3 linked regions of the Lepisosteus oculatus genome follow. The protein of the gene in region 1 purifies or fractionates together with the protein of each later gene. This does not show direct contact. Links are inferred from orthologs where the notes say so. Each region holds a gene or a part of one and is shown in the gene's direction. Other genes may lie near its edges. The genes, in order: cebpa, mrto4 and cdk4.

Region 1 (10,207 bases):
TAGCATTGCTGCCTTGCAGTGCTGGGGCCCTGGGTTCAGTTCTGGACCTGGGGTGCTGTCTATATGGAGTTTGCATGTTCTTGCTGTGTTGGCGCTGGTTTCTTTCAGGTCCTCTGGTTCCCTCCCACAGTCCCAAACATACTGCCAGATTAATTGGCTTCCCATACAGGGTGCACCCTGCCTTGCGCACTTTGCTTGCCACAATAGGCTCTGGCTTCTCTGTGACCCTGAATTGGCTGAAGAGATTAGATGGATGTGTATCGTACCACCCAGACACTGTCTAGAGGGTGCCGTCCCTGCTAAGTGAGAAGCCAGGCAAGGAGGAAACTGGAAGGGAGGGAACCGTGAGGCCAACTGTGACTTTGAAAGGGTTTCAGACTTCCTTGTTGTTGTTGTTGTTGTTGTCCGAGATGGAAGAAAATGTGTGCGAGTCAACAATACCCCAGCCGCTCCTCAAAGGGGGCCTGTATGGAAGAGTGGGGAAAATCCACGTCCGTTCCCACATGGGAGGATGCAGCAGCGTTTAAGTGATTCTGCAAACGTGCGACAAAAGGTTTTGTGGGCAGGCAAGACAAAAGCGGAACTTGGTGGCCTAAATCGCAAAGTGTAAACATGGTGCATCATTCAGTCAGTACGATACCTACTGTCAGGCTTGGCTGTGGCGGCTTTATGTGAAGAGTCCTGACTCGAATCCTATTGATAAACTATAATCGCAGGGGGTTCGGCATGCCAGTTCCTGCCAGGCACTCACTCCTATGGCACAGGACCACTATACTGCTCCCCTTTGAGGTCTGAACATCCTCTTGGGATAGCCCACGCCACCCCTACAGCAGCTGAAGGTGCTGGGCTTCTCTGTGCGCAGTCATGTAGAATACTCTTGTGCTGAAAGTTGTGCCTCAGTCATGCTTGAAGTCTGAAAGATCCAAATTTCTAATTGCACTTTTTAAAACAGCTCCAGACGTCTACTATTTTTTTTTTCCCCAAAACAATTCTGGAAAGAGGACGTTGCCGTGGTGAAGTTCAGGACTGTGAGCAGGGCAGAACCCTCTAGGGTGGGATGTGGACAGATCAGAAATGGGGAAAAGGTCGTTCTGTCAAAAGAAATTTCCAATTAAGGTAAGTCCACTGCATTTCTAATGTGACTTCTCCCTTTATTTTTTTTAAAAAGAAACAAACCTATGAAGATTTCATGAGCTTTTTTATTAATCAATTGCTTCGCCCTTGGGGAGATAGTGAAGATACATTTACAGTTTAACAGAAACTTAGTTACTATTAATAATTTACTTCCCTTTGACTTTTTCCATACCTTACAGTTTTCACAAGGAAAGTGTTCAATAACAAAAGAAACAAGATTGTTTAGTCCAAAATGATTAAGAAGAGTAATAAAAACACCCCTTAGTGTACATTAGTTTAATGCTGTAGTTGACAAATATGTACGAATTAGCAGAGCCGCAGTGAAACACAATTAGGCAGGTATTGGTGCTTTACTTCACTCCCCTGACATAAATGATGATTGCAAAGGAACAAGTCAGGGTTTACTCCATGCTGAAAAGAGAAGAAAGAAAACACAATGTTTTGGGTGTGGAGTCTTCTTTGGGCGTCATAAATGATGACCTGCAGGCATGATGTGTCACATAACAAGCTGTTCTTCAAAGAGTGGAGGAAGGGGTTAAGTTGTAAAAGCACAAATGATACACACCAACATATTTAGCATTTCACAAATTAATCGATCAATGTCAGCGTGTGGAAATGTAGTATTTGTGGATTTGTAACCCCCCTGGTACCCCCAAACTCTTTCCAACTCTGAGTTCTGTAACTTTCTGAAAAAGGACTTACTAGATATCTGGATCTAAACCTAAACACAAAAGGGTTACATGATCTAAACCAAATATAAAGAAACTGTTGGTAATATCTGAAAAACAATGCTCTCTGGATGCCAGGGAGTATCACCCCATTGTGTTTTCTAACAGGGAGAACAAAGGCCATTTAGAGGTCTCTTCTGTCTATCATATATATTCTTTGGGTGAAAATTAATTTGAGATGGATCATTAGATGAACCAGGAAACAGGAGATGAACCTTATGGTATTTCTTACACCATAAGGTGAGTATTAACATTATTAGGCCAAAGATAGGAGAGACAGAGCACTGGTCCTGAAAATAAAACTTAATAAGCAATAAGCAATAATAACTGATAACTGAAAGTAATACCGAGATGTATATTTACTGGTACGTGCTCTTGGTTTCTTGCATTTTCTTCTAACAATCACCCATCGTTTTCAGCACCTGCTTTTTTTCCTGAACGGCGACGCAGAACATTGCCCACAGTAAAAATGTTACTAATGAGATGTTTTTTATCGTCGTTATGAACACCGCCATGCTTAAATCTCTACTGTGTTTGGGGACCTCCACCTGAAACACTGAGTCCACAGGGACACTGTGCACAGCCCTCGCACAGAGCGCTCGTACCTTTTATAGAATTTTCTGTTGTCGACACTTGGATGTTCAGAACACGTTTTTCGAAACATGTTTTCAAACAGCTGTGCAAAGGGTACTAGAAAGTGAAAACCTAAAAAAAAAGTCAGAATCTCACTAACCTCCTTAGAGTCGGGTCGATAATCAACAGACAATCTTTTTGACATCTTGCCCTCTGTTGACTTTGAGCGAGTCTGTGTTTCATTGCTCTTACGGTTGCTTTTGAATACTTAACGGATATCGTCTGTTTCAGTTGAGCAATTCAGAATCCAGCCTGATAAAAGGAATGCTCTGTGATACAGCAACACGCCAGATCGGAGGCACCTTTGTTATTTTATAGTCTCGGTTGCTTTCCGATGAGCGCACGCAGGGCACCGTTTGCGGTCACCGTTGAAATTCAATGGTTGGTTAATCAGGACTTCAGAAAAAGCGTAAAGCGGGGTAACCCGAGTGTATTCGCTCTCAGTGCTTGAGGCTACAGACTTCCTCCAGCAGTAACAAGTTCTCCGCGAAACAACAGAGGGAGCTCCCCGCTCAGGAAAGGCAGAGTCACGATTCAGGCCGTCGCTAGCTAGGAGTCTGACTTGTGCCAAGTCTCGGAGAGCGAGCTTCAGGTCACCGGCTGAATCGCAGCCGTTGTAGTCGATTTCACACAGCACATTGAGATTACTATGATAGCATCATGTACAATCATCTCACTCGAATAATAAAGGTGATATCATAAAAGCCTCAAGTTTTCTTGAAATATAGTGTTTTTTATATTATTCATTGTTGCCTTTTCCTTACTAAAACATTACCGCAGTGCTTGAAAACAAAGAACTATCAACATCTGTTCAATTGTATTGTTTTAATTTAATAACGGAAATTACCTCCATAGTGTTTTCATTATTTTCTCTTCATTATTAGTATATTATTACTTACATGTAATAGTATGCAAGTTTCTACATTACACCACGGTGTACATATACAGCTAGAAAATATCTGGGAAATATCGGACTTTTGTTCATCTGCCTTCATTATTTCCTTAAAATGTGAAATTATGAGGATTGTATTTTTAAGCTTTTAAGTCGAAAATGTGTCCTTTGACTTCTTAACAGACAATTCCAACAATTGTCTCGAAAAAGCGATTTGCAGGCAGACAAAATATATTTAAGTGCCAAATGCCAAAATGTTGCAATGTTGGCAAAATATAGTACAGCCACCCTAACGTGAATCAATTGCATTTATTAAGCAATTTCACTACTCCGCGATTCTAACAAGTAACTAGAAGAAACCTTTAACCTTGTTTTCTTGATGCTGGTTAATGTGTGTATTAATAATAATAAGAAGAAGAAGGATGCATCATCATTTCATTTTTACTTGAATGTAATGTCGAAGATACACTACCACACTTCGCTACGCACACATATGCTTTTGTACGGAGACGTTAAATTTTCAAGAAAACGATCAGCTTTCAGAATAAATCAGTTTGTTCGCACAATGCAGTTTACGCGGAATAAATCAAGCAATGCTGGTACAGTTTCAGCACAAGAACTAACTTGTTACTGTGACCGAGAATGATTCGGTGAAAGCGTTTCAGTAATTCGTCCAAGCTTGGTGTAGAAGTGGAGTTCGGTGACAGCGTTGTGACTAAGGGATATGTACCTACACTCAGATAACAGGATGTGAAAAGACTGGCTGACTGTCGGGGGGGAGTTTAAAATTCCCAACACAGCTTATTGCTTCTCTGGTTAAGTACAGGTTGATGTTCCCTGCACCCTAGCTGCCGCATACTGGGCTAACCATGGGCTCCTGGGACCTCTCTTGTAGTAGCAGCCCATGGGAAACTCACCTAGGCGTTTGTCTTTAGGTTCCCAACTCTTACAGTTGCCTAGAAACCTATAGGTCATCTACAGATTCTTTTTTCCCTAAGGGACAAATATGCAAATCCGCAAAACAAAGTGTAGAAAAAAAAAACTCCCCACCGGGGCTCTTGATTTAGAAACAAAATCCCTTCATCAGACATAACGGGTACAGGGAATTCCATCTGCCGTGTGGTAAAATACAGTTACAAACCGACACTCCGAGGTAGCCCTTCGTGTGGTACTGTGCAGTGAAGTCATACTTATAGGGGAAAATCTCGTTATACTGTAGAGTAACTACTAATAGACAATCAATGAAGATCGACTCTCGACTTGAAGTATTGTCTGGAAAACGGTCTAATGCAATAGTGCATATTTTAAAGTCCTCCCTCCCCAATGACACGCCGCAGATATTGAAATCATTGTAGCGGTATTTAATCAGCTGTAGTTCACATTCAAGGGGAGGAGCGCCGCTGGAACACTCTGTGCGTTTCGACAAGTCACGTCGGCGTGTCGAGGAGGTCTGTCCGGGCTGATCGCGGTATGGGAAGATACCCAGACACGGCAGGTTTGCGCTGGCTGGCTGGCTGGCGGGGGGACGGACCGCAGCAACAGGAACATCAAACAGTAGAAAGAAAAAAAGAAGTAAACGAAATTGTCCTCGTGTCCCCTTTTCCCAGCCCGCTGTCACCTGAATTTTTTTAAATCGGAATTGTGATTCGGAGCCGCTATTGCAAACAAAGCAGAGAAGGGCTATTCATTAATACTTTCTTCTTTGAGAGCGTTTGTAAAAGAGCTGCAGTGTCACTCTGTCACATCAATTAAAATGTTCACCTAGGCACCAGCCCCTTCTTCAAGGTGCACGGTTTTCATTATGACTTTTACTGTAGTTTTAGCCCTCACTCGGTGCTTGGATCCCTGAAGAAAATGAGTTGCTGGTAGTATAGTATACCCTGCAATGCACAGTTTTGCATTGTAATTTAACCTGAGTTGGGTACATACAATTTATACAGTAGCGTATATAAAAATAACACACCTATTGCAAAATTCGCATACCCAACAGCAATTACTGTTTATTCCTGTTCTACCTCGACTCCTGCTATAAAGAACACTCATGTTTAGCGATATTAATATAGCATTTTCCAACGACTCTTTCACTTATATAGGCGGACTTTTATATTGCTAATCTAATTGTTGCCAAATCTTACGAAGGGACCACTTAACCAATATTGCTATTCAGTTTTATTACATTATGTAGTATAAAGTGAAACCGACGGTATTATACCGCATACAGAATATAAGAGACTCGTACTCGTATGTACTTAAACTGTTAGGCAAATTTGCCCACATATATGTGTGTATATCATACACTTATCGATATGATTTTTCGAAGCTAACTTACATTCATAGCTATAATACATACATAAGGCTCGCAGATATCATAACGATTTCGCAGCGTCAAACCCATATTTTTATGGGATATCGATTACATCTAAATACATCCAGGCAATACATCATGCACTTTTTCGACAGAATGTTTAATCCTGAATGAACATGATATCGAATGAATATTCAATTTGGGGGGGGGTATCCGTATTCATTGCAATGTATTTTAGAATTCCATCAGCCAAGGTATGTTCCTAAAAATAAAATCCCTTTGAATGTTTAAAGTTAATTTATTTTACATGCACTTATTTTAGACGGTTCTAGGGGAACTGCCCCCGCTCTTTTAAAGTACCCTCGGGTAAAGTTCAGTCGGGAGGGAATTCTGTTCCAGGCGCACTAGGACCCTGAAGAGCAGGCGGCCTCCTCTACAGCACGGTATATATATCACTGAGTCGGGAGAGTAAATCAGTTGTGAGCTACTGGGGCTTACAAACCAAGTGAGACTAAGGAACTGCCTTTTGGAAAGCATTCCTGTTTCAGTTTGCACTGTCGAAGCCCGCCCGATCTATAGCGGCAGACCAGACCTGAACTGCTTCTCACCCAGCCACTCACCTACAGTACCTGGCCGCAACCTGAGCTTGCTTGAATTCCCCGAGCCATCGCGGCTTTCTGCGGCACTGCGAGCAAGCTGGATTCTCGGAGCTCTTCACCATGCCTGGCTGGTTTTAGATACTCCATGGAGCAGCCCAATTTCTACGAGGTCGACCCTCGGCCCCTGATGAGCAGCATTCCCCCGAACCAGCAAAGTGCCTTCTGCTACAAAGAGCCTCCAGCGGCCGGAGACATCAGCGAGATCTGCGAGAACGAGAACTCCATAGACATCAGTGCCTACATCGACCCCGCGGCCTTTAACGACGAGTTTCTGGCTGATTTATTCCACAACAGTGCGAAGCAAGACAAAGCCAAGCTGGCTAGCGGCGAGTTCGGCTACGCCAGCGGCGGCCACGGCGGCCCCGTGACCCACCCGCAGGTCTACGGCTGCATGTCGAACTACATGGACACGGCAAAGCTGGACCCCATCTACGACCACCCTTCCGCCACGAGAATCCGACCTGTGGCGATCAAGCAAGAGCCCAGGGAGGACGAAGACACTAGCCAGTCTGCCATGCCGCCGACCTACCATCACCCCCAGCACCACCCCCACTCCCACCCCCAGCACCTCTCGCATCTCCAGTACCAGATCGCGCACTGCGCCCAGACCACCATGCACCTGCAGCCCGGCCACCCGACGCCCCCCCCGACCCCGGTACCCAGCCCGCACCACCAGCAGAACAGCCTCCCGGGGGGCTCCATGAAGATGATGGGCGGCGGAGACCGGAGCAAAGCCAAGAAGCACGTCGACAAGAACAGCACGGAGTACCGCCTTCGGAGAGAGCGCAATAACATAGCGGTCAGGAAAAGCAGGGACAAGGCGAAGATGCGCAATGTAGAAACCCAGCAGAAGGTGATCGAGTTGTCAACCGACAACGAAAGACTGCGAAAGAGGGTGGAGCACCTCACCAGAGAGTTGGAGACATTAAGGGGCATCTTCAGGCAACTCCCCGATGGCTCCTTGGTCAAGGCTATGGGCAACTGTGCGTAAAAAGGAACTCGGAACTTTGCAGGACTCTTCACTGGTATGATTTCTGCTGGGTCTTATAGCCACAGATGTGACAGATTCTCGAACCTTTATTTTTTTAAGGAGCCAGGCAGCTGAGGTATACATGTATGTGCCTTTTGTACAAAACGATAAGCTCATTTTTTCCCACACTTTTAAGTGTTATCAGTGGAGGTTTTAAGTGTTTTCGTGCCTTAAATGTAAGAAAGCGCCCGCCAGTGTGTTTGTTAGCTAAGCAAAAACATATCAGTGCAGCTAAGGTAGGCTACAATTGTAATTTTTAATCTTTGTTCATGTTTTAAAACTTCAGATCTCCTCATAATGCCTATTTTTGTCAAAATACCATATGCGCTGTGCCTTAAGAAAACTATTTAAAAATAATATGCGCACGATATTTCTAAATATGCTGTTTTTGTGCTTGTCAACACCAATATTAAGTACTTAAGCTTTAAGGAATTTCTTGACGTGCGCAAAAAGTTGAAAATCTTTTGCTTTTTCACACCTGTCCGAAAACAGCATATTTAAATTTTGAGTACATTTGCCTTAAACGTTTCAGTCAAGGTCTAAGAATTAACTTTTTATTTTCATGCGCGGTGGAAGGGGAAAGAACGACTGAATTATGAGACGCCAAAGTAAAGGACTGGAACGCAAGTGCTATAATCTTGTTTCTGTTTCTGCTTCATATAAGCAGGTTGTCAATGCACTATACTGTATGTCGTCAGAATACGAGTAAATGAAGCACATTGTGTTTTCGAAATGGCAATAGACTCGGGTGTAGTTCTATTAAACGTCTCTCAATGTATGCTTTTGGATTTTAGCCTTACATTTATACTGTACAATTCAGAATGTGAAAGAATGCCTTACACAGTGTCTGTTGCCATCTACATGATTCCATATAAATATCACTTTGGTGTGCTTTCTCACTGATTTTGCAGTGAAATACTGTTCTCTAGAAATCCGCTCGATGATGTTGGTTTCTGCGCACTGTTTCGTTCTCTCGAGCAGAAGCCCGGATTAAGTGCCTTCTCCACCTTTCTTTTTCTTCACGATATCACTGGTCGAAAGTTTTGGAAATAAAAGTAAAGCAAGCACTTTTTACAAATGACATTTTGCCGTGTAATACAAATATTTTAAGTACGTTTAAATTGTAAAATAAAAATATACATGATATATGCCAAAAATTATTGAAAAATATAATAAATGAAAGCCTTGTGTTATATCTTGTTGTTACGTCTCTTTTATTCTAAGACCAAATTGATTTTTTTGTTATTTTTGCTGCTTTTCTACACCCGCGAAGTAAGTCAATAGTATTTTATCATTGAACTCAGCAGAAGGTAAAAAAAAAAACATTGGATTAATTTCACTTCAGTTGTCCGACAAGCGCAGCTATCAATTTACCACGTACATTATTTTAAATCTAAATATTATTTCTTTAAAATGCTTCGCCATTACGCTATATAATGTATAAAATAAAATCGAATAACATACTTACAATTATGTAATTTATTGGGATTAGTTTTTATTAATTCGGTATATCTTCTTATTAAATATTCCTGTAAAATCTCTGTCACAGTTGTGGTAGTGCTCCAAAAAGTGTCGGTAGATGGCGCTTTATAAACACTAGTAAGTAGAGGTTGGCGATCATCGCTTTTCCAATAGTAGCAATTTAAATTCGGGTTATTGATAGGGTGACATTAATTTTTCAATGTTTATTATTTTGTGCAACACGTTGTGCGCATAACCATTAAACAGACTCATATCATATTGTCAAAAGTGTGTATAATTTTAAATATTTGTGCACCTGTAAAGTGTAAATGTGGTATGACAAAGACATACGTTTTTGGAAAGATCAGATATTTACAGCAGTCGTTAATAGTAAATTATTGCTTTATATGTTCTCTTAAAATATCTGCAACAAAACCTTTATATTCAGAAAAGGAACTTTCTGATGACTGTTTTCTTTGCAATTTAACAAGGGGAAACATCTCAAGATTTATACTTTTTCTGCACGAAACATCAAAGTACTTTAAATCATGGAAGAATGTAAAACATTCAAACAACTTTTCCATTCAAACCTGGCAATGCATATATGAACGTGTCATTCTCTGTTCATTCTAAACATTATGGTGATTTCTTTCTGTTTACTTCAAATGAACATGCACGCATTTTAAACGACAAGCATACGCTGCTACATCATGTTCTCCGACTGATGGGGAGACAGAACTTGTGTTTCCTAGTATAGATCGTAACCTAATGAACCATATTTTGTGGTGCAGTGGATTCTGTGAAAGTGAATCCTTTCAGCAATGTCAGTTGTTTAAACCTAATACAAAGTTAGTACATTATTTAAATTTTGGACCATAGTTCCACCTTTAAAATGAGCATTTTGTTAATGTACATTATATTAATCTAGTGGCTGTGCGTTGTCTGGCTTTGTGCCAGTACTGGGGTGAAATAATTGCATGTGGAAGATTATGCACTTAGACGTGGGCATTACGGAGTGGCACAGTAAGTATTACTGCTGTCTCGCAGCTCGTGAGTCCCGGGTTCGATTCCACCCAGGAGTACCTTCTCCATGGAGCCTGCCTGGTTTCCACATGTTGGGTTTTCACCAGGTGCTCCAGATTCCTTCCACAGCCAGAAGCCGTGCTGTCTGGGTTATCTGAAGTCTGTAAATTGCCCCCTGTGTGTGCCCAGCATTGCCCATTATTTGCTGGACTCATCGTGAGCCTGTACTTGACTATGCAGTTACTGAAGATGAATGGGCAAATGAATGGGCATGCTTTTTCTCCAACACGGCTTTTGAAAATTAGCTTTCAATTTTAGAAAAATGCTCGTTAAAGTAGTTGA
Region 2 (10,453 bases), on another chromosome or scaffold:
ACTGTGCCTCACTTTGGCACTGAGTTTATACTATGGACCAAACTCAAGTGACAGATAAAATCTCATAGTCTTATCTTAAACATACTCAAGGATCAATGAGTACTTTTGAGATTCTGGATGTTTTGAGATTTTAAGAACTACACTATGGGGTGCACTTATGCACACTGATTAATTCCGGGCTTGATGAAGGAAAAAAAACTACTAACTGACTGACAGCTACTGGAAATTGGAAGAGAAGGCATTGAAATGACAGCAAAAGTATTGCACATGTATTCCCGCCTTGTAACTTAAGAGTTATTTTGTCTTTCTAAACCAAAACCCCTATGTACACTGCACTGGGCTGCACAGCCCAGCTGGGGTAGGGGCTTGTGCGGAGTGAGGTGACTGTCCTACTCACTCTCTCTGGCCGCCCACCACTGGGGTCCGTGTGGTAGGTGATGGAGGTGTCCAGGAGTCTCCTCCCAGATGTTGCAGAGTACAGATTGATGCTGCAGGCCTTGAGGGGAGGAAAGGACGGAGGGTTACAAGCCTGAAATTTCAACCAGATGAACTGTGGTGATCAACGATGAATATCATGGCATGGCATTATAGCTATCTGAGCTTAGCACTGTTATTTCTCTTAAATGGCTTACTGGGAAAGATACAGCAGTTCAAAATTTAATTTGCAAGGTAGATCAGTGCATATTTTTCACCACAGCTGGCACACATGGCAGGGTAATTCATAATCCTAGCAGCCAGATACAGACCTCCTCCAAAACATTCTTCAATCACAAATTACTGTATATGTATTGGGGGAAACTACAACTGCTGCTTTGCTCCCCAGTTAATCTGATTCACTCACGGTGTTGTTCTTAGGCGTCATGACAGCAGCCACAGTCTTCTCCCCAGTCGTAGCGAAAGACACCAGGAAAGCCTGAAACATTTCCCAACATCATCCGCTTACTTCAGTGGTTCTGAGCCTTTGAAACAATGTCCCCCTTTCCGTTAACACAACGCAACAGGCCCCTCTTTGGTGTATGACCTAATAAATGTATTTGAATATTTAAAAAAATGATTTTATTTCAATAACTATTTGTGACCAATCTTATACAACCAAAATTATTTTTAGATAGTGAAACAGATTTAAGGTAGCATGATCTAAATTCAGTTGATTTAAGAATTTGCCTTAAACATTATCAATGTGAGCTCTGATGCTGCATATTTGCCACAAGCTTTGACATACTCAGTTTTGTGGAAAAAAGAGCACAATGCAAGCTACTTTCAACATCAAGCCTGTTGCGGTGTTTATTTCTGATCATCGGAAGTGTAAACATCCAGCCTCGCGCAGAGAGGTAGATGAAATTGAGGATGTGCAGAGGTTTTTATGTTCAATTAGTGTGATTGGATCAGACTTTGTCTACTAGATTTTGCTAATCGATGCTCTAGAATGAAAAGCGCTGGAGGCAGCTCCTGCTTACCGGCTGGAAGGCCCGGAGGGAGATAACCAGGCCGTCGCCGAGCTGCAGCAGGGTGTGGTGATCGGGGCCGAGCTGCAGGAAGAACTCGGGGAGCGGGGGCCGGGCCGGGTTGGGCTGGGTGGACACAATGACCGGCTGGAATCCAGGGGACACCTCGAGATCCAGAGACTGGTGAGAGATCGAGAGGGAGGAGGAGCACAACGTTAACAAGGGCTCCCAACAGCACCTGCCGATGGGAATGGTTTATTTCCTCCATACTACACCATTTCCATCTAAAGCATATATATATGAAAAACACTCTTTAGACAACCAAAACAATGAAAGTAATTAAAAAAAGTTATGAAAATTTACTCTTTCATTTAATAAGTACTGTGCTGAGCAGCCAGCTTACCTGCAGCAGGAGCTGCTTCATATCCTGCTGGTGGTCAGTGTCCAGGGGCAGGGTGTAGAGGGACTGGGTGGTGGGGTCAACACACACCAGGACCCCAGTGCTGACCACTGCACAGCCTGGCTGCAGACTGGCCAGCCACGGAGCTTCCACAGATCTCTGCAGAGGACAGTACAGCATCATTTAAACCTATTACTTGATCATTTTAATATGGTGAATATGGTTTAATATGGTTAATGGTTTATATGGTATGGTTTAATATGGTTAATATGGTGAATCCCATTGGTAACACACGTGGCTTGCCATGTACACATGTATATAAGGCACCAGCATTGTCAAACTAAATATAATGGTGTTAAAACCTTGTAAAATGTGCTCCTTTTAGTATGTACTCTGCTACTGCATACAGTATTTCTCACATATTAAACACTACTTAGTAAGACACTGTCCATAAACGCCTTGTTGATTGGCTGCATAACTACAAATCAGAATCTTAAAATTTAAAGATGATGCAGTCAGACCTGTGTCTAAAAGCTCTACCTGGCTTTAGGTTGTGACATGCCAGAAATACCTGAATCTTTGTGCTGTATTTCAAATAATTCTTGCAGAGAGTTTATCATGTTAACAGCTGCAGTTAACTTTAAAGACTGAACTTCAAATCCAGTAAACTAAATAAACACAGCTGAGGCATTTATTTCTAGCAAAGCAAACAAATATTTTTGGAAAAATATATTCACAGAGATATCACTTCTTTGTGACAAAATGACACATGAAAACTGTTTCTTACTTAACAGTATAAGAAAGATCAGTTCTTGCAACCAGCACAGCTAGAACCCACTTGGATTTGTCAACTCTATTATCAAGACAAACAGCTTTCATTGTCCTATCTTCCAGGAGAACAATATTCTCAATATTATCACATACAATGTTAAAAGTCATAACAGTAAAAATAAGCTCTAAACTATGGCATGATAATGGCACTCTGAAAAATATTACTAAAAAGACATAACTGTACTGTTGCAATATACTTTTATAGTTTTTAGGGGCTAAAGAAGCATTCAATACACAGAACAGAGACTAAATGTTCTTTAAATGGTTCTTCAAATGTGTTTGGCTTACGATGGCCAGTAAAATAAGTGTAGAGTTCAACACAATTTACTGTTGAAGTAATTCAATTTCAGGCTTCCTCAAGTTTAAAAAAACAGATAATATCCTAAGAAGCTTCTTTGCTTAAGTGATACGTCGACATTTATTGCCAATGAATGCATGCTTACCTGTTTCATTATCTCTCCATCCTCAATGTTGTAGGCAATGATGACAAGATGGGAGTGAGGCACTACTCCCAGCACATAGACCTCTCCACTACCCCCCGAGTACACTGTCTGGTACTGCACGGTCTCACTGCAGGAAACACAAGATCCCACACTTTGATCTCCTTTTTCAGACACACAGTGCTCTTGTAAAGGCTTTACACTTCAATAGACTCCAATAACTGTTGAGAATTACTGGGTTTCATTGAGCCAAATGTATTTTAACTTAAGTAATTCACCATATTATAAGGTGGAGCTATCATGGTTTCAAAATTCCACTGACAGGCTGTACTGCTGCTCATGATTCCATAGGAGCCACTAAAACACTGGGATTGGGTTTGGAAAGGAGGGAAACAAGCATCATTCTTTTGGCCTACCTATCTGGCAGGTTCTCTACCCATCTCTGATGGCCGTTGGAGAGGTAGTGCAGGGAGATGGCACCTGTCTTCAGCACAGCCACATACTTCACCGAGTCCTGCAGCCCTACAAAAGTGGCCGCCTGAAAACTGTGCCAAAGAAAAAGCAGGTTTTGTCAGTCACTTCAAACACTTCACTGACAATTAACTAGCAAAAAGCTTAAAAAGTGCAGTACTCTTGAGTATAAAGAAGGCATTAACATTTAAAGTACCATACTTATACATCTTCATGTAAAGCAGTACGCTGAATACGTTCCGGGAAACACATAAGTGCAATTTTCATTTTGTTTACACAAGTGTAGAATTAGTACTTTTAAAATTTAAAAGTTTTCAAAAGCACTATTTTTTAACAGCTGGGTAAAAACGAATTAACACCATCTGGGGTGAGACAGCTACAGTCATTGGTTCATTTACCTTCCAGTGTCCAACAGGGTCTCCCAGTTTAAACCACCAACGTTGGTTTCCCAAGAGCGCACCAATCGCCCATTTCCAGACACCACCACTGCATCTGGGGATAAACGCAAACAGAACAGTAAGCCAAAACAGCAATCATGATCCCATCTGACTAACCTCCCTTCACCTCATGATTCTAGGGCAACACCTGGTATTTGGCATCGTGTATATTATGCAGCAAAACTGCTACTCTTAATGTAATTTTCTTACTGTAACATCACATTGCAAATTAATATGGCAGTGCAGTAACTCTCATAAGCCACTGATCTCTATTATGGAAAACGAGGATTAGTTTTTGTTACTTTATACTTAAGACTTTCAATTAATAAAGTAAAAACAGCAGTGTTTATAAAACACAAGCACAGAAACCAGACTGATGCTACTAGTTATTTTGCTCCATTGCACTCCAGGAAAGAGCTGGACTCACCTTGACCATGGAACAGCATCGTTTCAATGCCTCCCTCTGGCCCACTCTTGTCCACGTGCCTCCAGACTACACACACGGAGGAGAACAACATCACAGACCACGAGAGAACTGACAACAACCCCCTCGAGACTCGTCAGATATTGAACATGTTTTTACTGAGAATGTCATCTGTCAGCAATTAACAGAAGTCTGCCTAGGATGTGTCAGATCTGGTACCAGTTCAAATTATAACAAGGTGCAAGGTAATCAGAGAAAGACTTTACTGAAACACTCAGGACCAGCACTATGCCCCCCTTTAAAACACGTTTTGCTGATTATATGTATTTTTCACTTTTAGACGAACAGTCCAGGAGACTAGTGGAGATTTGGTACATTTTCCAGAGGATGTAGACAGCAAGTTCAGTCAAAGACACATATTCTGCAAATCTGCTTCTACTTACAGATTTCTCCATTCCTGGAATTGAGGGAAGCGATAATATTCTGCTCGGTGGCCAGCAGGAGCTTTTTGGATGCCTGCGTTTGGGTGTCGAAATAGGCGAAGCGTACTCTGCCTACATACTGCTGTCTCCTGTGACAGAGAACACACGGGTGCCGTCACTGAAGGGCTATTTCATTAAAAAGGTTATGTACAGTACAAATACATACATTCAATGCACAAAATACTCGGCCTCGCCTCCTTCTTGGAACGAAGGTGGACAGATTTTCCATCTTTCAAATACTCAAGAGTTAAAGAACCAGCCGCTGGATTTTGAACTGATAAAAAACTCATCGTTCGACCTACAACACATTTTCATCTAGTTAAACCAAAACTGCAAAAACTAAGGGTACTGTTCCGTACAAAAACTAAATTATCACGGTTTCACACACTAAAACCCCACACGAAGTTACACGCTTACACAGACTAGGAAGCGTTACATTTGTTCAAATGCTAATATGTCCAATACACTCGGGAATCTGTCACAGCCCTCTTTCATTAACGAGCAGTGCTGCTCCAGGTACAAAAAACGCATCTTCCGTCCAAAACGATCGCGTTTAACTGAAACCGTAACTCACCAGTCAAACTTCCCGACCTGATCTTCAAAAACAGCAGCAGAGTGATATAATAAGAAGGAGAAAAAAGCGAAACCGGCCAAAAAACCTGCCATAGTGAAATAGAAAGACCTCCACTAGCCCACAATCCACCGGGAGATGAAGTTGAGAAAGATAAAAATGTACTCCCTCCAAATTGCCAGATAGAATACGAATTTGAAAAATAAAATAAAAATTCCAGAACATGTATTTAATTTATTTATCGCATGAACATAATTATATGTGTATTTAATTTTGTTGACTGTATATTTTCAGGCAGTGTGTGGACAGCCTTTGAGGAAGCATCGCGAGCGTGTGGGGTCTTTGAGTAGCGTGGTTGGTGCAACGTGAGAATCATGCCGAAATCAAAGAGAGACAAGAAAAGTGAGTTTAAATGTTTAGTTTTATCCTTATTTTTTTTTTAATGCGAAGACATGATCTGAGGACATGTTATCTGGGGAAGAAAAATCAACGTGGTGATAAAATGAGTGTATTGCTTAACTAGAAGAGATCATTTCAGTGTGAAGTAGTTTATGTTTCCAGTTAGAACTTGAGAAATATTTTATTTTTCCGAGGTTAGTAATCAGTTCAGACACAAGAAATATTTGAAATGCACTAATTAATTGATAATGCCTGTGAACCTCCAAAAATTTGTATTTTGCCAAATTTTCATCAAGAACTGTACTCATTCTGACTGGAGTTTATGATGTTGCGGTTTATATTTTGACGAAGATCTACAGACTTATCTTCTTTTAAATGCAGGATACAGTAATTTTCAGATTGTGCTTTTAATAACATAAAAATCATATCAAAAAGTATTAATGTAAAACAGATGTCGTTTAGAAGGAGTCCTTACCATGGTATGTGTCTTTACAGTCTCTTTAACAAAAACTACAAAGAAGGGACTGGAATCCAAGCAGAACTTAATAGAAGAGGTAATTTCCGTTTTCCTGTTCCCTTTTCAATACATTATGGCTAACTGGCGTTATTGTGACATGGCTGTTGGTACTGCTGGCTCACAGATTGTGAATCCCTTTCTGTCTGGAGCTTCCTCTCATGCCTTTACGCTGGGTGATCCTGTTCATTCCTGCCTTCCGAAAGACATGCTGGCTAGGTTAATAGATATCTCTGCCCGCACACCATGCAATAGGCTCTGAACCTTATCAACCATAAGATTTCTGATGGATAGTTTGCGGCTGTAATTAATGTCTGTTCTCTTAGCTGCGGAAATGTGTGGACATGTACAGCCACCTCTTCATCTTCTCTGTCGCCAATATGAGGAACAGCAAACTCAAAGACATAAGGACAGCGTGGAAGCACAGCAGGTGGGACAAAATGTCTTCTTGATAAAAGCACCCTCATAACCTTGAACCCCATTTGCCTTGGCATTTCTAGTTCCCTTGTTCCTCACTTACATTGCCATATTTTTGGTTTAAATCTTTCTCTCCCTTTTTTCTTCTTCAGGTTCTTCTTTGGCAAGAACAAAGTAATGATGATTGCTTTGGGAAAGGGGCCTGCAGATGAATACAAGGATAATTTACACAAGGTACATCATACCAGGCAGTCAGTGCCTTGTTCTGTTCATTTTCATTTGTAGGAGACAAAGATTAGTCTGCAATAAAGCCTATAATTCATACATTGAATAACACTAGAAAGGCAGCTTAATTCCAGAATATTGTGAAGTAAGAAAAACATAAAGGGGTAGATTTCATTCTGAGGATAGATGATGTTAAAAAGGAGGACTTCGGACCTGAAATCTCAAAATTCTGTAGATTTTCTGTAGAAATCTGTATTTAAAAGTCCAGTGTTCACACTACGAACCCGCTTGGCAGTAGAATGCTGTGAATGTGATGGATCTGCAAATGTAATGCTTTCATTACTTGACTGTTGTTTAAGAGACTCTTTTATTTACACTCACCAAATTAGTGCCAAGTGTAGAGAAATGGGAAATGATGCCTGAATTGTTTCTGAATTATTACTGGCTCTTTCAGTCGCAGATCTCAGTCTTCAGTGTCTCAGTGATCTTTATATCCTGTAGGTCAGCAAGTTTTTGAGGGGCGAGGTAGGCCTGCTGTTCACCAATAAAACCAAGGAAGAAGTGCAAGAGTGAGTATTTTTTGTGTGTCAGGGGGAATTAAATATTGCAGCAGCCAATTATTTTTACATTATTCACCAAATGTAGGATTCCAAATTATTTAATAGTGGCTCCTGTACCACTCAGGACAAAACTGACAAGTGGGCATATCTTCCTACATGCCCACCTGTTAGAGCCATTCACATTTGATTTATTACAAATTACATTATTATTATCCACAGTCCCTTTATAAAATGGAGCAGCAGTGTCTTTCAGCACCTTCACTGCACACCTGAGGGTGCTAGGTGGGTCACAGGCATTGATGTTTTCCCAGAAAGGGCATGGAGCCCAGGCTGACTAATCTCATCCCTAGTCTGGGGGTGCTCAGATGCTTGTGTGGCACCATCTAAAGACTCCTGGTTACAGTCAGCTAGTGACATGAACCAGAATCAGACTAGCAATGTGCCGATGTAGTTCAATGTGTGTCTGGGGCGGGTATCTCTACTGGTTGAGCTTCTCGGAAGCCCTAGTGTCTTCACTTCTGAAAAACATTTAACAGCAAAGTAAATATGTACAGATAATGCCTTCTCTTCCTGTCTGGCTGCAATCAAATCTTCCTGTCGCAGTATGCTTCGTCAGATAATGAAGTTAAAGAGCAAACGCATTAGAGGAGCCACATGCTGGCTCATTTCTTTAAATAAATTAGGACTTCTTTCTTATCTGTGACAGGTATTTTAGCCATTTTAAGGAAATAGATTTTGCACGGGCAGGGAACAAAGCAACTATGGCAGTCACGCTAGATGAAGGACCTTTGGATCAGTTCTCTCACTCCATGGAGCCACAGTTGAGACAGCTGGGTCTACCCACGGCTTTGAAGAAAGGTAAGAAATGTCGGACTAAACAGCCTGCTCCTGCTTTTTTCATGCAAAAGCTTTATTTTCCCCTAACCTGAGTTCTTTAATGTTATGTCCACTCTGTCAGGAACTTTTTTCTAGTTATTATTCTGAAACATATGTCATTGTATTATCTCTTATACTCTGTACATCTGAGAAGGCTGTGGGGTCAAGCTGCAGTTTTAACGAAGAACTAAGTGATCTCAAGGGCATCAGTTTATATCATTTTTTAATCTTCAAAACTGTGCATTCACTACTCATGCCTATGTGTTCACTTTGTGTGCGTGTTAATTGTCCCGTGTATCTTCTCTGCAGGAGTAGTGACTCTTCTGAAAGACTATGATGTGTGTAAAGAAGGAGATACCCTGACTCCTGAACAGGCTACTGTTCTGGTGAGTTCATGCAGTGTCAAGCGTGCTCTCGTGTCTTATCTTCATCTTTGTATTCCTTCACAGCTGAGGCTTATGATTGAAGAAAATCCATTGCAATGGAAATGCACCAGTTCTAATCGATCTCATTATAGTAAAAGTCAGGGCAACTCAAAGTCTATCCCAAAAGCACAGGGTGCAAGAAGGGACCATGGTGAGGTGCTCATCTGCACAATAGCAATTTCAAAATGCCAATTAACCTAGTCTTTAAGAAGGTGGGAAGAAACCCACAAGAAGGTGACTGCTAACTGCTTTGCCACTGCCACAGTGTGCATCATTTGCAAGAAATAGTGAACAAAAGTGTTCAGCTTGTTTAGAACGACATAGAGGAGCAAAAACAACACAGGTGGGAAGGAGTAATGGACCACTCTTATGATATGCATTCAAAGTGCTACACAGGCCCACAAATGGCACAAGAATTTAGCCCATAGGTTAAACTCGCTCACGTCACCGGAATGATTGAATGATCGAAAGATCTACTGAAGCCTGACATCTAGCACAGGTTTTGTGTGTATTTCTCTGGGCCAGAGCAGAGGCAGTGGTCTGTTAAAGCAGCTGTTTAGTAGAAATAAACTGAAACCAGTCCTAGTTTTTGAGATGATGCACTGTTTTATTCTCTCCTTTCATTTCAGCTTTAGATTTTCAAACTGAACCCTTTTACAAGTCAAGTATGCGCATATTAGTGAAGTTTTAAAAAGTTGGTCTCTAGCGTGTTGGGTGTTTTTGGTTACGACAATGGGGTTGGTCAGTTTCATGCGTGAATGGCACTGGAGCAGACTGCTGCTACCCTACACATCTTTGTGAATCCGGAAGAGCAGAAGCCTAGTGTAGTGTAAGTGTACCCCTTACAGAGCCTCCCCCTTTTTTCAGAAACTGCTCGGGATCAAGCTGGCTGAGTTCAGGGTGACGATCAAGTGCATGTGGAACTCAGAAACTGGAGACTTTGAACACCAGGGTGAAGAAGAGGAGGAAGCGGATGGGTCTGATTTGGAGGAGGAGGAAGATGAGGAAGATGATGAAAGCAAAAGAGACTGAGCATGAAGAGTGGGATTTCAAGAATGCTGTTTTTGTGTTGTGCCCTCTTCCCTCCAAGACTTTCTAGAATGAGTGTTTTCTTAAATACTTTCACAGTGCCAAGGATTGCTTAGTTAAGGCATCCAGACTCATACTGCATGCGGTATACTGAGAAACTACACTCTGTGTTTTTAGTGTGTCTCAGGCTAGAACTTTGCATTGTACATGGAGAATATTGTTAATACAAAGACAAAGTCTACAATTTGATGTACACTGAGAGTAGGGCAGAATAATGTATATCTAAAATATCATATACTTTGTAAAAATAAGTACAAGATAATAGGATACAGTTTGATATTTGTTTTGTAAAGTCCAGCTTTTGTAGAATCACAATATAACTTCATTTTTTATCCAGTATTTGGGTTTTTTGCTAGCGAGGTCTGGTCTAAATGCCACCCAGATCAGTCAAATCTCAAATGCTGTTATTAAATCTTCTCAACGTGAAATGAAATGCATCTTTTGTTT
Region 3 (10,146 bases), on another chromosome or scaffold:
GGTCAAAGGGCAGCCGGATCACTGGAAAATGAGCCACGAAGAGTCGGGAGGGCAGAAAGCGGCAGCACGCGCCTGAAATTACCCCCGCCTTCTCACCTCCACTTCCTGCCTTACAGCCTAACAGGGCGATTAGAAACCGTCAAATTAAATTGGCAGTAAATTTAATCACACGTGCAGCTCGCTCGGCGGTGGCAGGCTGGCAGGCTGTCTGACTGGGTGTCGTTTTCAAGGACTTTTGGAGGCAGGAGTGAGGAGGTGGGTTCAAAGCGAGGTTTAATAACGAGGAAGTAGAGCAACAGTAGCTCATTCTCAAGATGAAAGCACTGTGCCAGGCAGCCCAGTGCATCGCAGCCCACAGGCGTGTCAGTCTAGAGACAGCCACAACATGCGAATCAATCAAATGATCCATTTCCAAAGTGTAGCTGATTTGTGCTCCAAACACCTACAACTCTTTGTGTAAAGAAGTGCTTCCAGTTGTGCTCCAGAACTGCGCTGTCTCTTGATTTTGACCTGTGTCACCTGCATCACCTTTGTCATCTGCATCACCTCTGTCACCTGCGTTTCACCTGCATCACCTGTCACCTGCATCACCTGCGTGTCACCTGCATCACCTGTCACCTGCATCACCTTTGTCATCTGCATCACCTCTGTCACCTGCGTGTAACCTGCATCACCTGTCACCTGCATCACCTGCGTGTCACCTGCATCACCTGCCACCTCTCTCACCTGTGTGCTACCTGCATCATCTCTGTCTCCTACATCAAATGTGTGTCACCTGCATCACCTGTGTCACATGGGCTCTCAGGGTCTTGTTGAGTTTTGGAAACAGTCAGTTCAGGATGGTGAGACGGCACCTCTGTCAAGGGGCTCCGCACCCCTCCGGACATCACCCACAGACGTGCCGCTGGCGAAGAGACAATCACAGAAACAGAGCAGGGGCCTGCATGGTGCCACGGCCTGTCTGTGTGGAGTCTGCATGTTCCCCCATGTTCACACGGGCTTGGGAGGTGGGGCTGGGAGGGAAGAGGAGCATGGTGGGTTGGGGGGCTCCGGCTCTGGAACAGCACAGAATTCAGGGATGTGGCCTTTGTGAAACGCTGATCCACGCGGCGCTATTAACGCCAAGGAGAGACCTCTCTGCTGCCCCCTGCTGTTTACACTTCCTTGTTTACTCCGTCTAGCCTGTGCTGTAGCAAGAAAAAGAAAACTGTTAGGTTGTTGGGTTCGGCGGATTTACATTCGGCGTTCACGGGGCGAGAGCGTGAAACTGAGCGACGGGACGCCAGGGCGCCAGGAGGACGAGAAGCAGGCCCGCGGCGGGAGACGGGCGGCGCTCTCACGCGGGCAGCCGGACTGCGGCTCTCAGCGAGCGCCACCAGGTGGCGGACTTGCGCGCCTGTGTGCCCGAGAAAACTGAATTGTATTACCCAACACAGCAAATTCGGTCAACCTTCAGTAGCTTAATGTATATTTATGTGTGTATATACATGTAATAGCACATACATAAGTAAATGTAAAGAAAATAAAGATTACTGAGGTCTTGTTCAAAAACAAATTCACGTAACTGAGCAAAGCTCCGTTCTGTGCTGTAGCACCAGTTTTTTTAGATTCACACTTCTGTTTTCCAAGATTTAGTTCAGCAGTACGCCGGAGGTAAAGTCTTGACCAATTGGCACATCTGGTTATATAAAGGATTAAACAATACAAATCGTGGAGTTATTCTACACTGTCAATATATTAAACACAAGGTAATTAACTATTGTGGTTTTTGAACTGAACTCCCTTCATTCCAGATACACTCTCTCATCTCAGAAAGTGAGCATTCAGATATCCTAGTGAAACATTTACTTAAGCTAAAGAAGGAGATCTGTGTTCTTCTGTCTTCTGGGCTGAACATGTCCTATTCTAGGCCCTTCACTCACTCATCTACTTGTCCACTCACTCATTCATCCGTCCACTCACTCATCCACCTGTCCACTCACTCATTCATCAGTCCACTCACTCATTCATCCGTCCACTCACTCATCCACCTGTCCACTCACTCGTTCATCTGTCCACTCACTCATTCATCCGTCAACTCATTCACCCACCTGTCCACTCACCCATTGACCTGTCCACTCTCTCGTCCACCTGTCCACTCACTCATTGACCTGTCCACTCTCTCGTCCACCTGTCCACTCACTCTTCTGCTTCTAAGTGATGGCAGCAGATGAAGGCACTGTGCTTTCAAACTGCATTATAGCCATAACTGGAAAGCTGCTTGATTATTTCAAGCCCAAGAATAGCATCAACAGAAAAAAGGGTACAACCATCAAGCACAAAAGGGAGCCGACTCAAACAACTGTTTGGCATTACTTGGCCTTGTGTGCTGTGCTGGACCTAATGTGAGAGTCAAGTGCCAGGTTGGCAGGCATTGATAATGAACTGGCATGGTCCTGATCTAAACATGACAGGACAGCAGGGAACATATACTGTATATTAATAATAATAATAGCTTACACTTATATAGCGCTTTTCTGGACACTCCACTCAAAGCGCTTTACAGGTAACAGGGACTCTCCTCCCCCACCACCAGTGTGCAGCCCCACCTGGATGATGCGACAGCAGCCATAGTGCGACAGAACACTCCCCACACATCAGCTCTCAGTGGGGAGGAGAGCAGAGTGATGAAGCTGTGATGAAGGGGATTATTAGGAGGCCATGATTGGTAAGGGCCAATGGGAAATTTGGCCAGGACGCCGGGGTTACACCCCTACTCTTTTCAAGATACACCCTGGGATTTTTAATGTCCACAGAGAGTCAGGACCTCGGTTTTACGTCTCATCCGAAGGACGGTACCTGTTTACAGTATAGTGTCCCCGTTACTATACTGGAGCATTAGGACCCACATGGACCACAAGGTGAGCGCCCTGTGCTGGCCCCACTAACACCTCTTCCTGCTGGCCCCACTAACACCTCTTCCGGCAGCAGCCTTAGTTTTTCCCAGTAGGTCTCCCATCCAGGTACTGGCCAGGCTCACACCTGCTGAGCTCCAGTGGGCTGCCAGGTGTGAGCTGCAGGGTGATATGGCTGCTGGTAATATTATGTACATATATGGTGTGTTTGAAGGCTGGGGCATCTGAAACATTCCCCTCAGAGTGTGGACTGACTCGAAGAGTAAAGCAGCACAGTGTCTGCAGAGGCACGTGTGACTGTGAGCATCTTCGTCAGAAGACATGTGGCTGCCATCTGAAGCACATTCCACTGAGCTGTGGTCACTGTGCCTCCGTCTCTCGGAGCCTCACCATGTGTGGACGATTACACAGACGCACCGGCCATTCATCGAGAAAACACCCCCCGGCCTCTATCAGAAATAACAGCCTTTGATACCACTACGCAGAGGCCTAATCACACACTCCCACAGACCTCCCCTGTTCCCTGTTCACACACTGGGCACTCTCAGTGCAGCCACACTCACTTTCACATTATAAATAGAATGTCACTGCATGATGAGAGCCCAGCCCAGTGATAGCCCTCCCAGTAGCTGCCTTCAGTCTCAGTGTAATAATAATAATAATAATAATAATAATAATAATGGGGACTACCTACCCCTACCACCAGTGTGCAGCTCCCACCTGGGTGGTGCGACGGCAGCCAGAGTGCACCAGGATTTCACCACCTCACCAAACACCAGCTATCAGTGGAGAACAGAGTGATGAAGCCAATTCAATTCATGGGGGTATTTAGGAGGCCATTACTGGGAAAGATCAGGGGGAAATTTGGCCAGGAAACTGAGTTCAAAGGGGCCATGTGGTCCACCTCTCCATGCAAAAGAACACAAACATACTTCCAGGTCTATAGTAAACTCTCGTGAAGGACATTAAGTCTCCAATAGCACTGCAGTCTGATTCACTCCATGGTTTGCCATCAGCTCTGTATTCTTCTGCAGCTAAGCTAATACTAGTGCATTAGTGTAAGCTGGATACTTCATGCATGTAACATTCTGAGTGAATATCCACAGCACAGGTCAAATTATATGAAAAACACACACATGATTTTCCCTGCCATAAAAAAAAGTACAGAGCCAGACTACACTGGACTGGGATGTGCATCTATCTGTCCTGGGCGTGATTTATCTGGACCAGAATTGAAGTCAACAAGCACCGCTGTCCCACAGGAACCCCAGCTCTGCAGTATCTGGTAATAAGCAACTGGCTGTATTTTGTCATTTGGGTCACCTAAGGAAATACACTTAGATCAAAGCTGCAACCAGTGGGACCTGGATGAGATGTAGTGATTGCAAAGGTACTCTAGGACTGACTCAACAGCCGGTAATGAAACAGCCCGGGCTTGATCTCAGACGACAGCACTGGGCTCTTTAAAATGACTGGCTGTAGCTAGAGCCCACTGCAGCTTAGATGGACTGGAGTTGAAACACTTGATTTCATAATGCCTGAGGGCGCACCACAGTCCTTTACGTTCTCAGGCGTCTGTGAGGAGGGAGGGCTGGAGTGACAGGGCAGTGTTGCACAGTTCTGGGACTGTCCTGGTTCGCAGGCACCTCTGACATCCTCCGGTCCCCCGTCAGGAAGGCAGGAAAGGGACAGCCTACAGGATGTCCTGTCCTTCTGATTGTTCCAAGCAGCTATAAAGGTGGATAATTTGCCGGATTTATGGATACACTCTGGAAGGACTCTTGTTTGAAGTGTGATTGTTACTGTGATGCAGGGTGTTATTGTGTGTTACAGTTACAGTGCACTGCAGTATTGTGTGCAGTGGTATGTGTGTTACAGTGTGATTTTGGTGCAGGGTATTATTGTGTGTTACAGCTACAGTGCACTGCAGTATTGTGTGCAGTGTGTACTGTGTGTTACAGTGTGACTGTGGTGCAGTGTGCATTGTGTTGCAGTGTGACTGTGGTGCAGTGTGTACCGTGTGTTACAGTTACAATGCACTGAAGTAGTGTGTGCAGTTTGTACTGTGTGTTACAGTTACAATGCACTGAAGTAGTGTGTGCAGTGTGTACTGTGTGTTACAGTGTGACCAATATAGACCGTTTAAATGTCTTATTGTGATGTAGTGGTACACAGTGCTTCAATGTGTGATTGTGTGTTGTGGCGCAGTGTGTTACAGCCATTGTGTTACTGCGGCGCATGTTTCCGTCCACGAGCTCCTCCTGCTTTCTCTGGAATGCAGAGGGAAGCGCGCGCGGCAGAGCAGCGGGTGAGCCTAGCAACAAAGCCTCTCGGCCAATCACGGCGCAACAAGGAGCCAGTGCGTGGTGAGGAAGGGGCGTGGTTACGTGCTCGGTACGCACAGCGTGCCGACTGTGGGGCGGAAGGGGAGCCGGGCCTGACAAACACTGTGTTGTGTTAGTGTAAGAGTAGGAGGGGAAAACTGGGATTTTTAAAAATCCTTAAATATTTACAGAAGAATTTCACGTCTTTACTATAACAACAACCCAGTGTGTCTAGATTTGAGCCGAGGCATATACATTAATCTGCTCAAATACGTTGTTGCAAGATTGCAGTTTGTACCCATGGCTACGCTTTTGCACTCCTGAACTGATGTATTCGGTACAAAATGTGAAGTTTTTGGGGTGTAGTCAATGTCATTAATTAAAAAACGAACTGCTTTGTAATATTTGGGAGAAAGAAACTTTCTTCATCTTTCTAAAAATACGCTTGTGTTCATACAAATATGGTTTGCAACAAAAGTTTTGCCGCCAAAAAGACGTGGGCTCTTACGTGCATTACAGAGACTTCTCGCTTCAAACCCGACTTCTTCCTGGTCTGTGCTGTAAAACCTCTTCACAGTGCACAGTTAGAAAATCGGGTATCATGGTAAAGCTGCGGAATTAGGTCCTGTTGAAGATTTATATATGTAAACAATATTACCCTTAAACGCATAACCGCACCCCATAATCGCAATTAAAAGCTTTTGGCACTTCACTGTCTGATGTGAATTTTTTATGAATTAATAATTCCGAGGGGGGCGGAGCCACCAAGGGAGTCAGTGCTACTGAATGCGCGAAGGGGATTGGCTGTGTGGGCGAGGGGGCGTGTCCCCCGGACAGGAAGCTGGTCGGGGCTGGATTGATGGCCATGAATGAGCCTTCGGAGTGTTTGGGGAGGAAAAAGTCAGGCCAAAGTTTTCTACATTTTTTAGACATATAAACAAACCCTTTTAGCAACAAAAAGGGGGGAAAAACATTTGTAGGCGGGCTCTCTTCGAGCACCTCCGGATGGAATCGAGCTATTCAAAGGCCAGAAGGATAACTGATTAAAAATGAGTTTAATTGTGCATTAAAACAGTCGGAAAGCAACGTGGTAAGTAGACAACTCAGCGAACCTATTTTACCTTTTCAAGCCGCCGAGGTGTGTACAGATGGTAAATGAAAATGCAAGAATGCCGTCTGAGAACTGTCGAACTGAACACGCTGCGGTTTACGAGCGTTAACGAACCACGTTCGGCCGAGCACTTCGGAACGACTCGCATCTGGGAAAGTCAAATGTTAATCGCGTCTTTTTTTTATTTTTAAAAATGACGAGGCAGCCGAGATTCAAGCTGCCGTGGGACAAACGGCGACCCCGCGGCGACAGCCCGCAGGACGGAGGAGAGGGGAACCGGGCTCGAGTTCGTGTCTGCGGCCGAACTGCGGGAGGGGGCAGTTTGTTAGACCGGAAGGTGAACACGCAGCCCGGCAGCGCGACCCGGTTCGGGTGGCTGGACTGTTGAGGCGAGACCCCGAACCGCAGGTACCGGGGCTTGAATCCACCCCGGCCGACTGGTTAACAAAGGAGAAGTTGCGTCCCGGTCACCACGTGCTGGAGAAAGCCCCCGCGCTCGCGGCTGCCCCGGGGGAGGGAGGCCCGGGGGAACCGGCCTTCGGTCCCGCGTACTGACCGGGCTCCGTGGCACCCCAGCCCAGAAAATGTCGGACTCGAAATAATAACACAGCCACGCTTTTCAAAACTTAGTTGTGAGTCCGGCTATGTTGGGCGGTCCCAATTTCGGGGACGCGCATTCGAGCTACCGGACTGGATTCCTCGGTTCGCTTCCTGGGAAGGGTCCGTTCGAAATGGAGCCGGGTCCGAACTCCACAGGGACCTCGGTTCCGGCTGCCTCGATCTCCCCCACCCGCTTCCGTCCCCTCTCCGAGGCCGGCCCGAAGAGGGGCTGGTCGTTTCCGAGCGCTGCTCTTGCCGGACATCCGCAGTGACACCGCCTGTACTGGTCTCTAGAAACCCAGTCGTCACCACCGCGGCCCGGGTGTTTCTGCGGGGTCTGAGCAGCGAGCTCTGCTGTCTGTACATCTAATTCAAAACAGAAACAGGCAGAGGGTAATTCCGTGGGAAAATGTTTGCTTGGTCCTTTGAAGCCAACCTACTGTGACTCAACTCCCCACTCGAAAGTATTTCAGTACAGGCTGCCTGTATCTGACCGCCTTAGAGTAATGTATATGTAGTGACCGATCATTTAATTATTCGGAAATGCAGAAGTCCATTTGGGACACACACGGGTGTCGATACAGAACATGTTTCTCTCCCCAGCACACAAACACCTTTGTGTTTTTTATTCTATGACACTTTCTATCGTGCTGATGGTCATGAATGAAGGCGTCAACAGTATTATCAGCAGCAGTTCCAGTTCAGACTCACCGGGTTTCTCAAGTTGGCGTAGCCAGGCGGAATCCACACCGAGCCGTGTCTTACCAGTGCACCAGGTGACCTTGTGACCTCCTGGAAGAAGCCGGGTTTGTGCTGAGGAACTCGGGTCTCGCGGGTCGCCTGGTGACAAAAGCGCGGTGTCTGACCCCTCCAGTAGGTGGCGCTATAAAGAAGAGGGTGGGTGTAAACAGTGGGTACAGACATTGAATGGACTTCTATTTGGGTTTCCCTGTTTTTATCTGCGGGATATCACTGACTTCACACAGTACACCCCTGGTTGGTTTTGTCATGAGTCAGTGGCGGTGCAGAGCTTTAGGCTCGCTGGCCTGATTGCTGGGCTCCCTCCCGGCTAGGTTTGCTCGGAGATGGGGTGGGCCGTCTCCTGCCCCGCCCGGGAGTGGTCACCTGGCCTGGGTGGCCAGTGGCCGGCGGGGCTGTAGTTACAGGGCGGTCCGGGCTCGGTGGGGTGGGGGGGAGGCGACCCCTGTCAGCTTGTCCCTCCCTCTCCCCTGCGCGACTGTGGCTCTCTCGCTCCCCTCAGGAATGCGCTGGTGACCCAGTTCTTGGCTGGCTGGAGCTGTAGGTCAGATTCCACAGGCCAGGGAATTCCAGCTGCCCGGCCCTGTGGTCAGGGAGGGGGACAGCGGGAGAGCGGCGCTCTGTCGCCTGTGTGCCGCGGGGCTGTAGCTCGGTGTGCATTTGCGTCTGAGCTGCAGACGGGGAAGGTTCGGCCCGGGGTTGTGTCGGGGCTGATTCCAGAGCAGCAGCAGCGGTGCTGTTGCGTTGTGGAGGCTGTGAGGTCACAGGAGCCCTGTCCAGCAAGAGGAGGCCGTACAGCCCCTGTGGCAGCTGGGAGCTACCTGATCCGAGGGCCTCCTCTGGCCACGGCTCGTTCCACTCTCCCACAACCCTTGGGGTATAGTAGCCTCCTGTTTTCAGTATCGAATCCACGCCCCTGTAGTGTCCGCTTGTCCAGGAGCTCGTGTTACCTGTGTTCATTTTGGATTAAATCTGCGGGTGGACATTGCTAATGGCTTTGTGGGTGTTGAAAACTTGTATCGGGTTCCCTCATCGTTTCCTTGGCCCAAGACTAAAGAGGTTCAGTTCCTGCAGCCGGTCAGCGTAGGACAGTCCCTGTCGTTCTCCTCTGCGCTGATTCTAGAGTGTGGTGATGAAAATTGAATAGTATTCTAAAATGAGGCCTTACTAACGCATTTTGTTATTTTAACATCCTTTGATTTAATTTCTGTGCTTAACTTCTAGTCCTAACATTGTTTTTAGAATTGCTTCCCCGCAGGGTCTAAAAGATCTAAATGTGTCACCATAAACACTGGAGCTGGAGTTTTTTAGTTTGCTACCTGTTTGTGACACAAAGCGCTTGTCTACATTGTCTCCAAAGATGTGAAGATTATTCTTATAGAAAATTTAAGAATTCATGTTGAGGTTGAATTTTGAATTTGAGGAGTTGCACACGATATTCTAAATGAGGTCTTGCTAATAGACCGACCAGTTTTAAAATCACCTCCTTTAATGGAAGTGATGGCTTTTGGAACTACATTTCCCAGAAGTCTGGGGGAAAGAGGGAGGGGATTGGAGCCCCAGCCTGTCTCTCATCGTCGCCCTCTGTCTGCCAGGCTGGGAATGGCGCAGGAGAGCGTGGTCCAGTACGAGCCGGTGGCGGAGATCGGGGGAGGCGCGTACGGGACGGTGTACAAGGCGCGGGACCGGCAGAGCGGGCAGTTCGTGGCCCTGAAGAGCGTCCGGGTGCAGACGGACCAGGACGGGCTGCCGCTGTCCACGGTGCGGGAGGTGGCCCTGCTGAAGAGGCTGGAGCAGTTCGACCACCCCAACGTGGTGAAGTGAGACCTCGGCCGCCGCCGCCGCCGGCACGCACGTGCGCGCACGAACCCCCATGCCGTGTCCCGGTCCGGCCCGGTCTAACAGTCTGTGTGTGCGTGTGTCTGCGCTGCAGGCTGATGGACGTGTGCGCCACTCTGCGGACGGACCAGGAGACGAAGGTCACCCTGGTGTTCGAGCACGTGGACCAGGATCTCAAGACCTACCTGGACAAGGCGCCGCCCCCCGGCCTTCCGCCCGACAGGATTCGGGTAAGGGCAGCCCGCCTGGCCTGCAGGCCCCGCCCCTCTTGGCGATCCTGCCGCGGGGTCCGCGAGCTGGCGAACACCCCCACAGCGTCTCTCTCCCCCCGCTCGCAGGACCTGATGCAGCAGCTGCTGTGCGGCCTGGCCTTCCTCCACTCGAACCGCGTGCTGCACCGCGACCTCAAGCCCGAGAACATCCTGGTGACGAGCCGCGGCCAGGTCAAGCTGGCGGACTTTGGCCTGGCGCGCATCTACAGCTGCCACATGGCGCTCACGCCCGTGGTAAGAGCCGGCAGTGCGCCCCCTGCTGGGCGGGTCGCATGTTGTTCCTTTAACCTCGCGAGCTGGTGCAGCTGCGTGTGTTTGACACGCCTCTCTGGCTCCCCCAGGTGGTG

What was found.
Region 2: the proteins of cebpa (region 1) and mrto4 purify together in Homo sapiens (affinity purification with mass spectrometry; 3 studies listed by BioGRID and IntAct, with this or other methods). This does not show direct contact. The link is inferred for Lepisosteus oculatus from reciprocal best matches to the Homo sapiens genes CEBPA and MRTO4.
Region 3: the proteins of cebpa (region 1) and cdk4 purify together in Homo sapiens (affinity purification with western blotting; 3 studies listed by BioGRID, with this or other methods). This does not show direct contact. The link is inferred for Lepisosteus oculatus from reciprocal best matches to the Homo sapiens genes CEBPA and CDK4.

The regions. Positions count from the first base shown.
Region 1 is NC_090715.1:15,642,208-15,652,414, forward strand, and holds cebpa (CCAAT/enhancer-binding protein alpha), read left to right. Parts: upstream 1-6,152; 5' UTR 6,153-6,436; coding exon 6,437-7,342; 3' UTR 7,343-8,576; downstream 8,577-10,207. UniProt on the Homo sapiens protein: Transcription factor that coordinates proliferation arrest and the differentiation of myeloid progenitors, adipocytes, hepatocytes, and cells of the lung and the placenta.
Region 2 is NC_090720.1:5,918,989-5,929,441, forward strand, and holds mrto4 (mRNA turnover protein 4 homolog), read left to right. Parts: upstream 1-5,797; 5' UTR 5,798-5,875; coding exon 5,876-5,903; intron 5,904-5,997; exon of another isoform or gene 5,998-6,094; intron 6,095-6,395; coding exon 6,396-6,454; intron 6,455-6,740; coding exon 6,741-6,844; intron 6,845-6,983; coding exon 6,984-7,065; intron 7,066-7,557; coding exon 7,558-7,625; intron 7,626-8,322; coding exon 8,323-8,474; intron 8,475-8,801; coding exon 8,802-8,878; intron 8,879-9,503; exon of another isoform or gene 9,504-9,784; coding exon 9,785-9,949; 3' UTR 9,950-10,345; downstream 10,346-10,453. Other genes in the region: emc1 (ER membrane protein complex subunit 1), read right to left, coding at 398-496, 842-913, 1,458-1,625, 1,849-2,004, 3,120-3,246, 3,533-3,661, 3,986-4,079, 4,452-4,517 and 2 more. UniProt on the Homo sapiens protein: Component of the ribosome assembly machinery. Nuclear paralog of the ribosomal protein P0, it binds pre-60S subunits at an early stage of assembly in the nucleolus, and is replaced by P0 in cytoplasmic pre-60S subunits and mature 80S ribosomes.
Region 3 is NC_090696.1:14,868,356-14,878,501, forward strand, and holds the start of cdk4 (cyclin-dependent kinase 4), read left to right. Parts: upstream 1-6,038; 5' UTR 6,039-6,308; intron 6,309-6,530; exon of another isoform or gene 6,531-6,534; 5' UTR 6,535-6,666; exon of another isoform or gene 6,667-6,737; intron 6,738-9,283; 5' UTR 9,284-9,290; coding exon 9,291-9,508; intron 9,509-9,621; coding exon 9,622-9,757; intron 9,758-9,865; coding exon 9,866-10,033; intron 10,034-10,140; coding exon 10,141-10,146.